3 linked regions of the Kluyveromyces lactis genome follow. The main gene of each other region encodes a partner of the protein of the gene in region 2 in a complex. Links are inferred from orthologs where the notes say so. Each region holds a gene or a part of one and is shown on either strand. Other genes may lie near its edges. The genes, in order: NUP188, NUP120 and NUP49.

Evidence for each region.
Region 1: NUP120 (region 2) and NUP188 share a complex: the UniProt entries of both Saccharomyces cerevisiae proteins name them as parts of the nuclear pore complex. The link is inferred for Kluyveromyces lactis from reciprocal best matches to the Saccharomyces cerevisiae genes NUP120 and NUP188.
Region 3: NUP120 (region 2) and NUP49 share a complex: the UniProt entries of both Saccharomyces cerevisiae proteins name them as parts of the nuclear pore complex. The link is inferred for Kluyveromyces lactis from reciprocal best matches to the Saccharomyces cerevisiae genes NUP120 and NUP49.

The regions. Positions count from the first base shown.
Region 1 is NC_006041.1:971,888-976,165, forward strand, and holds the start of NUP188 (Nup188p), read right to left. Parts: upstream 2,933-4,278; coding exon 1-2,932. Other genes in the region: inorganic diphosphatase PPA2, read right to left, coding at 3,187-4,080. UniProt on the Saccharomyces cerevisiae protein: Functions as a component of the nuclear pore complex (NPC).
Region 2 is NC_006039.1:1,080,489-1,084,843, reverse strand, and holds the start of NUP120 (Nup120p), read right to left. Parts: upstream 2,857-4,355; coding exon 1-2,856. Other genes in the region: FAR8 (Far8p), read right to left, coding at 3,241-4,355. UniProt on the Saccharomyces cerevisiae protein: Functions as a component of the nuclear pore complex (NPC).
Region 3 is NC_006042.1:2,088,911-2,092,079, forward strand, and holds NUP49 (FG-nucleoporin NUP49), read right to left. Parts: upstream 1,784-3,169; coding exon 566-1,783; downstream 1-565. Other genes in the region: KLLA0_F22341g (uncharacterized protein), read right to left, coding at 1-56; chromatin-binding exonuclease XRN1, read left to right, coding at 2,325-3,169. UniProt on the Saccharomyces cerevisiae protein: Functions as a component of the nuclear pore complex (NPC).

The sequences.
Region 1 (4,278 bases), on a different chromosome or scaffold from region 2:
CATATGAGATTGCTTCAAGAAGTCGAGAAGCCACAGATTCCGGGTAGCAATCTAGCTTCAAGACATTTTTCTTAAGGAGAGAAAGAATTGATGTTTCAGAGGCGCTATTCGATGGTTCTGATTTTTTTGGGGAAGAGCCAACGGATATGGTTTCGCCAGTAACTAAAAGAATAGAGAAACCATCCTGCTTTCCTTCCATAACGGAAGAAAAGAATCTGTATAAACTCTTCAGAAATTGATAATCATCGATTGTACTTGCGAGGTCGTACAAGATCGAATTGAAAATCATCTTGGAGTGTTTTTGGCCCAGATACGATAAAAGAGATGGGAAGTTTTCGGCCCAAGGGGCTCTCACAAGGTGCGTCATGAGTTTGATTATTGGATTTCTTAAATCATTGTGTAAGGCGTAAATGTCAATTAACTTCGGCAAGTTGCCATATATTTGTGATTCCAGAGTGCTGGGAGGTAATTGTAACATTGCACGGACGGAGATTAAAAGGTTTGCTAATTCATAAGACTTCAGCAAACATTGGTTGTACTTATTGTAAAAGACTTCATTTCCGATAGAGAGTGCTTCCAATGAGTTGCTGGATAATAGAACATGCAGTATGGAAGTGACTGTTCTTACATCTGGTGAGTCAGAACTTAAAAAGCGATTCGTTATGTCGTTTGCAGCTGATGATAGGACTTTAGTAATTTTAGTTTCTGGCGGATTAGATGGATCGATACCATAAATATTGTAAACGACAGTCGTAAACAAGATGGTTAAGTTTGTTCCTAGCTCATATTTCTCAGCTATGGAACGATAGTTCCAGTATTGATAACTTTCATAAACATGTATGAAATGCTGAAAGAATTTCGAAAGAATTTCCTTTTTCAGATTTTCTGGGAATTCTGTCTCTAGTGTTAGAGATTCTAGAACTAATTGTTGCGCCAATTTGATAATCTTGATTGTTATTGAGTAGTTTCCATTTGGTAATTCCATGGTGCCCAAGACACTAGAAATCAATCCGGATTTGCCATACCTATCAAGGAGTTCAGATCTTGCTAAATGCGACCATACGAACTGAGAAAAGTCATCTATGGAACTGATGAGTAGGTTGAGACAATGATCAATAACGTCATAGTCTCTTAAATGCAAAGATTGTTCGAAGACTTTGAAAATAACATCAAAAATGTAATCTTCTGTAAGATAGGTAGACATTTGTAGTAGAATATCGGCCGATTTCTCCACCGAGATACCACTTCCTATAACACTAGAAATTAGATCCAGCATTGATAATATCATTTCCTGAACATCAGAATCTTGAACACCAGCAGATGAAGTGGACAGATATCTATCGCATGCATTTTGAAGGACTCTACCCAATAATGACCAACCGTTATATTTATACAAGAACATCACGACGTCATCATTAGTTACTGAAGGTAAGATCTTAGCCTTCGTGTCCTTCGGAATTGGTAAGAGAACATTCCCACTAGGTTCCAACGGTACTCGAGCAAAGGTCTCACTCTTTATGGATATCAAATCTGTTGAGTGTGCATCATCAGCTAAGTCGTACTCTAGACTTCCCAATACAACCTCTTGGACATAGGTGGGAAGTTCCTTCCACTCAAAATTTGCAAATTCAGCATTCGCTGAGGTTATGTTTATCATTGGAATGAGTGACTCTTTCAACAGCGGAGCCTTTGTTTTTATCAAGAAGAATTTTTTCTCAAATTCTTTGTTTGTCAAGAACTTTTCCACATAATGAGTTGGTGCGTTACTGAGGACAGTTTTGATCATTTTGGAAGTCTTTATACTGATTGGAACGAAATACAACGAAAAAGTGATGAAGGAAGTCAGTATAGCCGCAAAGAAGGCTTGATCTTTGAATATTTGTGAAACCTTAGAAATCTCTTCGAAAACATTTTCATTCTCTGCAGTAAGGGCAAACTCTTTGATTAGCTTCGAAATGGGTTGTGAGTTGAAGACTTGCTGCACGAATTCCAGATTATTTTCAGGATCTTCTTCTAACAGATACGATTTGGAATATAAGATGAAAGACCAGTAGTATACAATAATTGCTGGCGGATCTGTGTTTATTATGAGATCTAGAAGCCTTCTGAAAGTCGCAGCGTCATTAAAAAAAGACGATTTTACGTCTATCGTGTCTTCGCTTGTATTATATCCTGTCATTATAATAGTATCCATTATCATTAAAGAATTTGCCATGTTGTAGATCTCTGATGGGACATCTTTATTATCCTTGAGTATGGCGAAATACTGTGTTTCTTCGAGCAACTCGTACCATTTTGTGATAATTTCCAGACCCACTGGTTGATTCAAGCTTACGAATGCGATCAAATTCAATAGATTTGTAATATAAATAAGATCATACGACATTAATGAGCTCTTATAAGAATCATTTTGCTCTGCTGAGCCGATAAGTGCTACACAGTTCTTGACCAGAAGAATTGCTTCTGATATCATTGTGGACCTATTCTTGTAGACAAGTTGTAACATGGAGCCCTTTAAAACTGGGAAAGAATCATGATTTAATAAAACGAGGGTTGTATCCAAGACACAGTTTCTTTCATGTAAGATCTGTTTAACGATGGTATCTTTTTCCATTGGACAATCTGGGAACCTGGTCCTGGTCTGCGAAATAACTCTCAAACACTCTTTTTGATGTACATTTAACGCAATTGAAAGCTCATTGGCCAATTTTTCGTCCTCTACCGTCACATTATATGAATAACCCCTCAATTGCAGCTGTTTTCCAACGGAATCAGTGTTTTCAACTGAGGTAAACCTCGAAAGATGAACCAGTATCTCTTCGTTGTCCTTCAAGAATTTATCGATTGCCTGGAAAGTAGGCTCATTATGTACCTTATCGTATTCCCCAGAGCGGAGAAACGCACAAATTCCAGCAAATGATAAAGATGACATGCTGCACGGTACACCTGGCCAGCGCAATAGCCTTTAGTTGACGTGAATCTGTACCACTGTCTCATCGTCTTAATTGTTAGATCGAATAGTTTCATTAAATATAGTTTTGTTTACATTAAAATTTTGCACTACATATGAGAGAGGGTAACATCAAAATATTGGACATGTATATCATAAAGGCATAATAAGAGGAGATGAGCTGTGCCAGGTTAACCTAACCGAAGAAGCTTACTGACCACTGACTGCTTTTAAGTTCATACATAGTACCATTTGTCCACTTCTTGTGGGATTGGTGTGTCATTTTGTTGATTAGGTTCAACTCTTATGTGAGTTCCCGCTCTGACAATGGAGGGAATCTCGGCCTCTGATCCATCTGCTTTAATTTCTCCCCTAACTAGAGCATTCCAGGCTTCGTGACATTCTTGTACCGTAGAAAGTGTAGATGCTTGGTCCTGGTACTCACCTTCGAATGCAAACACATTAGGTTGTTTCCCAGCAGGAATCTTGTAATCTCTGAACCATGTTCTAGTTGCATCCAAGAGACCAGGCATAACAGTGTCTACATCTGCCAACTTGTTCAATTTTATAGCAATGGGATCTTCAATGTCGATACAAATGACTTTCCAATCGAGTTCTCCATCGTCAATGAGGGCTAATGACCCTAGAAGCTTTACTTTTTTGATATCTCCCATTTTGGCGATGCTGGAACCAATTTCACAACAGTCCAATGGGTCATTATCACCCTTGAAACCGGGCAATACTTCAATAAGTGGCTGTTCCCATGTCTGTGGGATAGCCCCATAGTTATGAATGTATCCATGGTAAGGGAAAATGTTATTGACAAATCGTGGCTTGCCTTTCTTTATGTCCTGTGTGATGGGGTTAAATGGTTCGGTCTTACTGATTTCAAACTTCCCATTACTCCAACGTGGAACCTCTACGATCATGTTACATGTTTTGGCATCAACATCTAAGTCTAATGGCACATCGTGGAAATAGGACCCAATTTCACCGTTTGGCAGCTGCAAGTACTGTTTAAAAGACGATGAGTATTTGCTTCCAACCAAAACGTTGTGGTAGTTTCTAGCATGTAAATGGTTGCCAATCAACCTCAAATGTTGCGAAGCCCTTCTCATATCTCTAGACATCAATTCCCACACAGCAACTATGGAATGAATCCTTTCTGTGGGATACCCAGACTCGACTGGACCACGATTCCTTAGTGTTTGGTTGTAATTCGGTAAGCTTGAAATTTAATAGACAAATTATTATTTAATCAGTGATTAGTGGAAATATTACAAAAAGATAAATTAAAAGCTTACACAACATGGTAAGAGAAAATGGCT
Region 2 (4,355 bases):
TAGTTCCTCGCACGCTTTCCTTTCATGTTGATTTAGTATTCTGAAAGAGAACAACTTTTTATAGCTGTTCCAATCAGTGAGAGAAACTTGTGATGATAAAATTGAAGCTATAATTTTATAATCACTCACACATAATAGTATGGATCCGTTGGAAATGTTTGCATTGTAGCATTCTTGGAGTAAAGTTGCAGTGAACATTTCACTGTACTTTTGATCACTCAGCAGTGTATAATAGTATTTTTCTCTTAGGCTTATATCAAGGACTTTTTGTTCCAACCTCAATACATCCAGGACTTCTTTATAATCGCCAAATACTATCAATGTATCTAAGTATTGTATCAACTGATCTGCTCTTGTACCATCAAGTGATATAGATTTTTTGATGGTTTTTAAAGCATTAGCATACGATGAAGCTTTGGAACATAGAACTGAAAGTTCATAATAGTATGCTGGTTTATCTTTTGTATTGATCGCATGAAGGAGATTGTACCAAACGTGATTTTCAGTAACCTCCAGATATTTAGGTAGTGAGAGCTCATCAGAGAAGTCATTTGCCAAGAATATTTCAATAGATGCATCATATTCATTGCATTTGAACAAAGAAAGAGCATATAGTAGTTCTTCTACTGGATCCTTGGACACATGGTAAGGCTTAGCAACAAAGTGTAGGAATTGCTTTGCACAAGTCAAATCTTCGCCGTTCAATATGAAATCGGAAAAGGCTCTTGTAAATATTGGAGGTTCAGCTGTTGGAGAATTCTTGACAAAACCAACCATTAATGTAGTAAAGTCGGTTATATCGCTGTAAGATTTCAATTGTGCACCATAATTGTATTTAGTAACATGACCGAAGGTCTCAGAAATTGCCAATAATTTATCTATTTGATACACTTGGAGCCACAATGAGATATTGAAGTGCAAGGTAATTAACTTAGACAACTTCTCTGCAAAAACTTCATAGTTGATATCCACAATAGTGAATACTAACAATATATCAATGATAAACTTATCCATAATGGAGAGTGTCTGCTTCAAGGATTCCATAGACAAAACAGATAAGAAAATGTCAGTATCTAATAAATCAATAACTGAAAAAGCACCTACTTTCAAATCACAGTGTATAAATTCGGATAAAACCTCCACCACATCAATAGAATTTAGATTTTCCAACAATTTTGATAAATTAGCACTTTGGAAACCATTTGTTAGACAATCTTGAAAGACAATGGTAATTTTATTTTTCAATGATAACGAGGGATTTATTGAACCATTTACCATGTCTAAGAACTTCTCAGATATCTTATTTAACGTTTCAGATGTAATGGTTGTTGAAAAACCATGCAGGATATTTAAGAAAAGCTCTAGTTGAGACGAGGGTTCCTTTCTCTCAAAAATGTTAAAGAAAATTGTTTCAAGTTGTGAGTCTAACTTATACGTGGAATGATGATACATGTGTAAGCTGTTAACAACAATTATCTCATCATCAAGAATAGTTAGAGTTGAAGGCTCCTGATATTGTTTATGAAGTTCTTTCAAAAGAGCTTCTAGATTATTCAAATAATCTTGATTATGAGGATCATTTATCTGCACCATGACATTATTTTTATTCAGTATCTTTTGTGCGTCATCGTACGTTGATTGTGAGTAGTGTGACTTGAGATTGAGGAGAGCCTTTTCCATATTTCCGTTTGTTATTAGGTCTGAGTCATCAAGCAAATCAGAGAGGTATGTGCTGTTACCATCAATCCATTTGTAGCTACTATACAGAGAGTCTTCGAAGGAGAGTAGTTGTAGCTTGGTCACTGTGTTACTTTTCCATAATAAAACCAAGTTGAGTCCCGATTGTTTGACAATTGAGGATTTTACTAATTGAATGTCAATTAAAGACCATATTGAATAAGATGAAAGATTGAGAGGTATATTAACGTTTAATGGTTTGAAGGAGATTCTTGAAGAATGCGTATTTTCTAATTGAATGACTTGGAACGATCCATTACCTGCAGGTAGGTATACAAACAGGAGAGATCCACAAATTATCATGTATTTTCCGGCAGCTCCATAATTCACCTGCTGGTTTTTCTCTTTTAGATCGAAATGCGCATTTAGTTGATATGTGGTTAAATCCCAGATTTTAATGGTTGCATCATTCGTTAATGTGACAAGATACTTGTCATTCAAAAGTTCTGCAGATACCACTGCAGAGTTGTGGTTATCGTACTTTGAAAACATTCTTGTAAAACTTTGAAAGTATGAACTATCATTGAATAGGACAGGTTGCAATTCAAAATCGTTTAATATTTCGAGCGGAATACGTTTTAACCCCAAAAGACCACCATCTTTTAGAAATACTACACTGAAGGTGTTATCAACATGAAATAGACACTGTGGAGGACGTACTGAGAAATCATACGGGTTTAAAACCTTCAACCAATTCTCAGGATACTCATTTTGACGAGTTCTCGATAGAATAAAATCGATAGGCAATGAAAGGTTGATGAAAATTCCATCCTTTAAAATCACATCAAAACATAGGTTGGAGGTCGTTTCACTAGATTCGTATACGACTGCAGTAAACCATTTGTTCAGAAGAGGTTTTGGAAAGTGGATATATATGGTTTTCCTTGCAAAAGTTTCCTTCATGGAGTAAATACTCAAAACAGTGTAATTATTACACCATTGGAAGGACAACGATTCATCAATTAATTTTAGTTGCAACAGTTTGCTGTACTCTACGGAAGTTATTTCTTCTGTAGATGATCCAACATTCCCATTGACGTATAAATGTTGGGCATTGTCTGATGAGTGCTTCGATTTTAATTGTAGTAAATTTGTATTCAGACGAGAAAAGCTGGTCATTTTTCGCAGTTTCAGCTTTACCTCTCAGCTGTTCAATAGTAATGTTGTAGGTTTATGTTCCGATTTAGCCTGTAATTGAAGTTCTCTGGTGGCTGTTCTCTTCTGTTTACCGATTCCACTTCATGTCAGATTGATTTCAACATGTCTTTTCTCATTGTTGTTGTAACCATGAAAACAATATTATCCGGGTAACTTATAACTGAATTTTAAGGTCGCTTGGGCAATAATTTCCATGTTGTGAGGAGGATTATATAGGTACTCTGGGGATACCATGTCTATAGACGATGACGTTCGTCTTGTACTGTTTTACATGAGCATTATAGATTATTTTCCTATATTTCTCTTTGAATTATAGCGGCAGCTTTGATTACTATAGCATTGCGTTCATAAGCTCATAATTTTTTCTAGTCGTATCACACCGTTATAGCCACCAGAAACGATTACAGGGGTATCATCTATGACTGTGGATGCAATGGCAATTGGTTGCACTTCAGCGGGAACCTTCTCAGGGTGTTCATAATGATTGTATTTTCTAATTACTTTACCATCTTCTTTGATTGACTTCACGAGTATTGAACCATCCTTCAAAGCGGTGACAGTGTACTCCAAATCATTGAGGAAAATCGAGGAAATAGCAGATTCTGCGGTAGAAGACACTAAAATGGTCTTCTTCTGATCGAAAGAGTAAATCAGAGTTTCTGTATCGAATCTCACAAGCAATTTTGATGTCGACCTGTTCAATGCTAATTCATTATTTGTGTGATGGAATTGGGTCAGCGAATGAGAAAGATCGATTTGTTGTAAAAGGGAGCCTTGAAAGTCGAAGATAGAAATCTTTACGTTTTGTTTTGAACTACCATTTAATATTATAAGCGATTTTTCCGTTAATCCCAACAAACAATTGAGAATCTTATTGGGGACTGAAATGACGAATTCATTAACCTTAACGATACTGGAGTCATCGATTTTAATTTCCCAGACCCGTATCTCGTTAACGAAAGTCAAAATTAGCCATTTATTTTTGAAATCTACAGATTGTAAGCCTTCTAAATCCTTGAGGCCATCCCAAGATATGACAGGGTCGCTCTGGCTTACGTTCCACAACTTGACGGAAGTTTCATCCACAGTCATAAACCTTGTTTTATTCAACCAAAAAATACCCAAGAGGTTAGGCACACAGTGAAACGCCTTGGTTGCCTTTTCATTAGAGTTCAAACTAGGTTCAATGAGCCAGTGCTTTAGTAAACCATCTGAGCCAAAAGATAGCATGTTGTTTCCGAGAAGCTTCAATTTGCTAATTGAAGATAAATGATACTGTAAGAAACGATAAGTATGGAATTTGAGCATCTCATTGGATTGTGTTGAGAACAAGGACGATGATCTTGATCGCCTTGTGTTTATTACAGTTTCGGCATCAGAAACGTCATCTCCTGGGGGTGAATTTATGACATCTTTCCAATCCCTGTTTAGAGTGATATTTGGGACATCACTGCTGGTAC
Region 3 (3,169 bases), on a different chromosome or scaffold from region 2:
ACCCCCCAAGTGTCATTTCCATCCACTGATGTACATCTATCTTTTACTTCAGCCATCGCTTCGCTTTAATCAAAAAAAAAATCTCCTAGCTCCTTGATTTTACGCCTGAAGCTTGATCTACAATAAGTTTATACTGACAGAATTAATACTAAAATGTCACACTTAATATGTCTCTGATATTCCAATAATGATAGTTAGTTGCCAGCAACGTTCTAAAATTCTTATCAGTCCTATATATATTTCTTGAGTATAATCACAAAACCAGGACGCCTTTCCTTTGTTCTTTGTTTCACATTTTCGTTTCCGGGAAAACTGTTACTCCTTGTTAACCATTTTTTAATCCTTATTCCTTTTATATTTGTCGTATCAAATTCCCTTTTTTCACAACTCATTGACCTAAATAAGGAAGGGAAGATAAAGGGAGCCTGAGAAGAGAAGACTGCGAAGAGACAAGTGGCAGATGCGGTGCAGGTGCAGTGCATGTGCAGGAGTTAGTGATCTGCATCAATAGGTAATATGTTCTTGAACGCTTTCTTTTTTTATAGTATTAAAAGAATAATATCGACTATTTAACTATTATTTCTTTACACTTCTGATGCAGTTCTGCTATTCTTTCAGCTGTATCCATGAATAGTTTGAACTCTTCGATTAGAACGCTGACGATAATGTTAACACCGACCTTGGTATCATCATCTTCGGATGAATCGTTCCCAAAGAGATCATTCTCTAGACCTGACACTGCGTCGTCAATATTGCTTAGAGTGTCGTTGTAGTCATTTAATTTGTGTTTGTATGTGATTAATTTTTCCTGGAAGAACTTATCTATCTCAACGTTTGATATTTTGAATCCCTTACTGACTAGTTGTTGCAACATTATAGCAAAATTTTCCAATTGTTTAACATCTTTATCCACTAGTGTCTTGATGGCATCGATTCGTTTCAAATCTGATGATAGTGATCTTGTTGCGTTGAAATGCAATTTTTGTAGATACTTGATGTCACGAGGGATTGAATCCAATAGTTCAGTTTGATCTTGTAGATCAGCTTCAAGATGTTTGGATAAAGACACTTGCGTTCTAATGAATTGGTCCAATTGTTCGATTTCTTGACGAATTTGAATCGGAAGCTCCGATATCTTGGTCATCGGCGTGATAGCTAATTGGTTAATGAAATTAATGGCACTCTGTTGAGTCTGTTGTATCTGTTGTTGTGGTGGCTGTTGAAATTGATTTTGTGTTTGTCCAAACATTCCTAAACCAGATTGTTGGGATTGCTGTTGTTGATTTCCGAATGGGCCTCCGGTAGTTGGTTTGGATCCAAACAATCCTCCACCAGTTGCAGAGCCTCCGAAACCGGTAGTCTGTGGTTGTGCTGGTTTGGATCCAAATAATCCTCCTCCAGTTCCAGAGCTTCCAAAACCAGTGGTCTGTGGTTGTGCTGACTTATTCCCGAATAAGCCTCCGCCAGACCCGGCTCCTGAGTTACCAAATAGGCCACCTGTGGAGCCAGTGGCTGTATTATTAGAACTTCCGAAAAGTCCTCCTGCGGTTTGGTTCGTATTGTTGTTGGTGCCTGCTGGATTACTGCCAAATAATCCTCCGCCAGTCTGTGTCGCTGTATTGTTATTGTTTCCAAATAACCCTCCTCCAGTGTTACCTGATGTGGCATTGTTATTACCAAAAAGACCACCGCTAGTGCTTTGCTGGTTGCCCGTATTCCCAAATAATCCTCCTCCTGTGCTTGGTCCTACTGGAGGACCTGTAGAAGAAGAACGGCCAAACATTTCGTTTCTATCAGTAATAAGAGTATTAGATATTTACACGCCGTAAATTCAGTTAATTCAACTTACTGTTCAGTATCAATTGGTGTCTCAATTCTGCTCTCTCCATCTTTCTTTTTAACCTCATCTGTTTACTTTCTCAGTTTCCATATTCAAAATGTTTTCAACTCTTCCATCAAAGAGTATAAAACAAGAAAAAAAAGCTTGAACTTATGGATCCGGGTAACCCATAAACCTCGTCTCAAAAAATTTTGCCACCACCAAGAAAAATATTCCGATTGAACATTGGAAAGAATTACCAAATTACCTTAACGATTATGTTACTAAACAGTAGCTTTGGTTAATGTACTTTCAGGGTCTTTCATCCATATCAGGGTATATTATAACAATTCACTAAAAGTGGTTACTCATTGTTCGGCAACGTATACTACTGGTACTATCCAATCCCAGTTGTTGTTGATCTTTTCTATTGTTGGAGGAAAAAAGTCAGTAAAGCAAACCTCAGAAAGTGTTCAATTAATTACGGTTTGTGGCTTAACTAAAAATGGGTATTCCAAAATTCTTTCATTTCATCTCTGAGAGATGGCCTCAAATTTCTCAATTGATCGATGGATCACAGATTCCAGAGTTCGACAATTTGTACTTGGATATGAATTCTATTTTGCATAATTGTACGCATGGTGATGGTAGCGAGGTGAATTCAAGACTATCAGAGGAAGAAGTTTATTCCAAAATTTTCAGTTATATTGATCATCTTTTCCATACTATTAAACCAAAACAGACATTTTATATGGCAATCGATGGTGTGGCCCCAAGAGCAAAGATGAACCAACAAAGAGCTCGTAGATTCAGAACTGCCATGGATGCCGAAAAGGCTTTGCAGAAGGCCATTGAAAATGGTGACGAGTTGCCTAAGGGAGAGCCATTTGATTCCAACGCTATTACCCCAGGAACAGAATTTATGGCAAAATTAACCGAGAATTTGAAATATTTCATCCATGACAAGATCACCAACGATACCAGATGGCAGAACGTGAAGGTTATTTTCTCCGGGCATGAGGTTCCTGGTGAAGGTGAACATAAGATCATGGATTACATCAGAGCAATTAGAGCACAAGAGGATTACAATCCAAATACAAGACATTGTATCTACGGGTTAGATGCTGATTTGATCATCCTAGGTTTATCCACCCATGATCACCACTTTTGTTTATTAAGAGAAGAAGTTACTTTTGGTAAACGTTCGTCTTCTGTGAAAACTCTAGAAACACAGAACTTCTTCTTGTTGCATTTGTCTATCTTGAGAGAATATTTGGCATTAGAGTTCGAAGAAATAACAGATTCTGTGCAGTTTGAATACGACTTTGAAAGAGTATTAGATGATTTCAT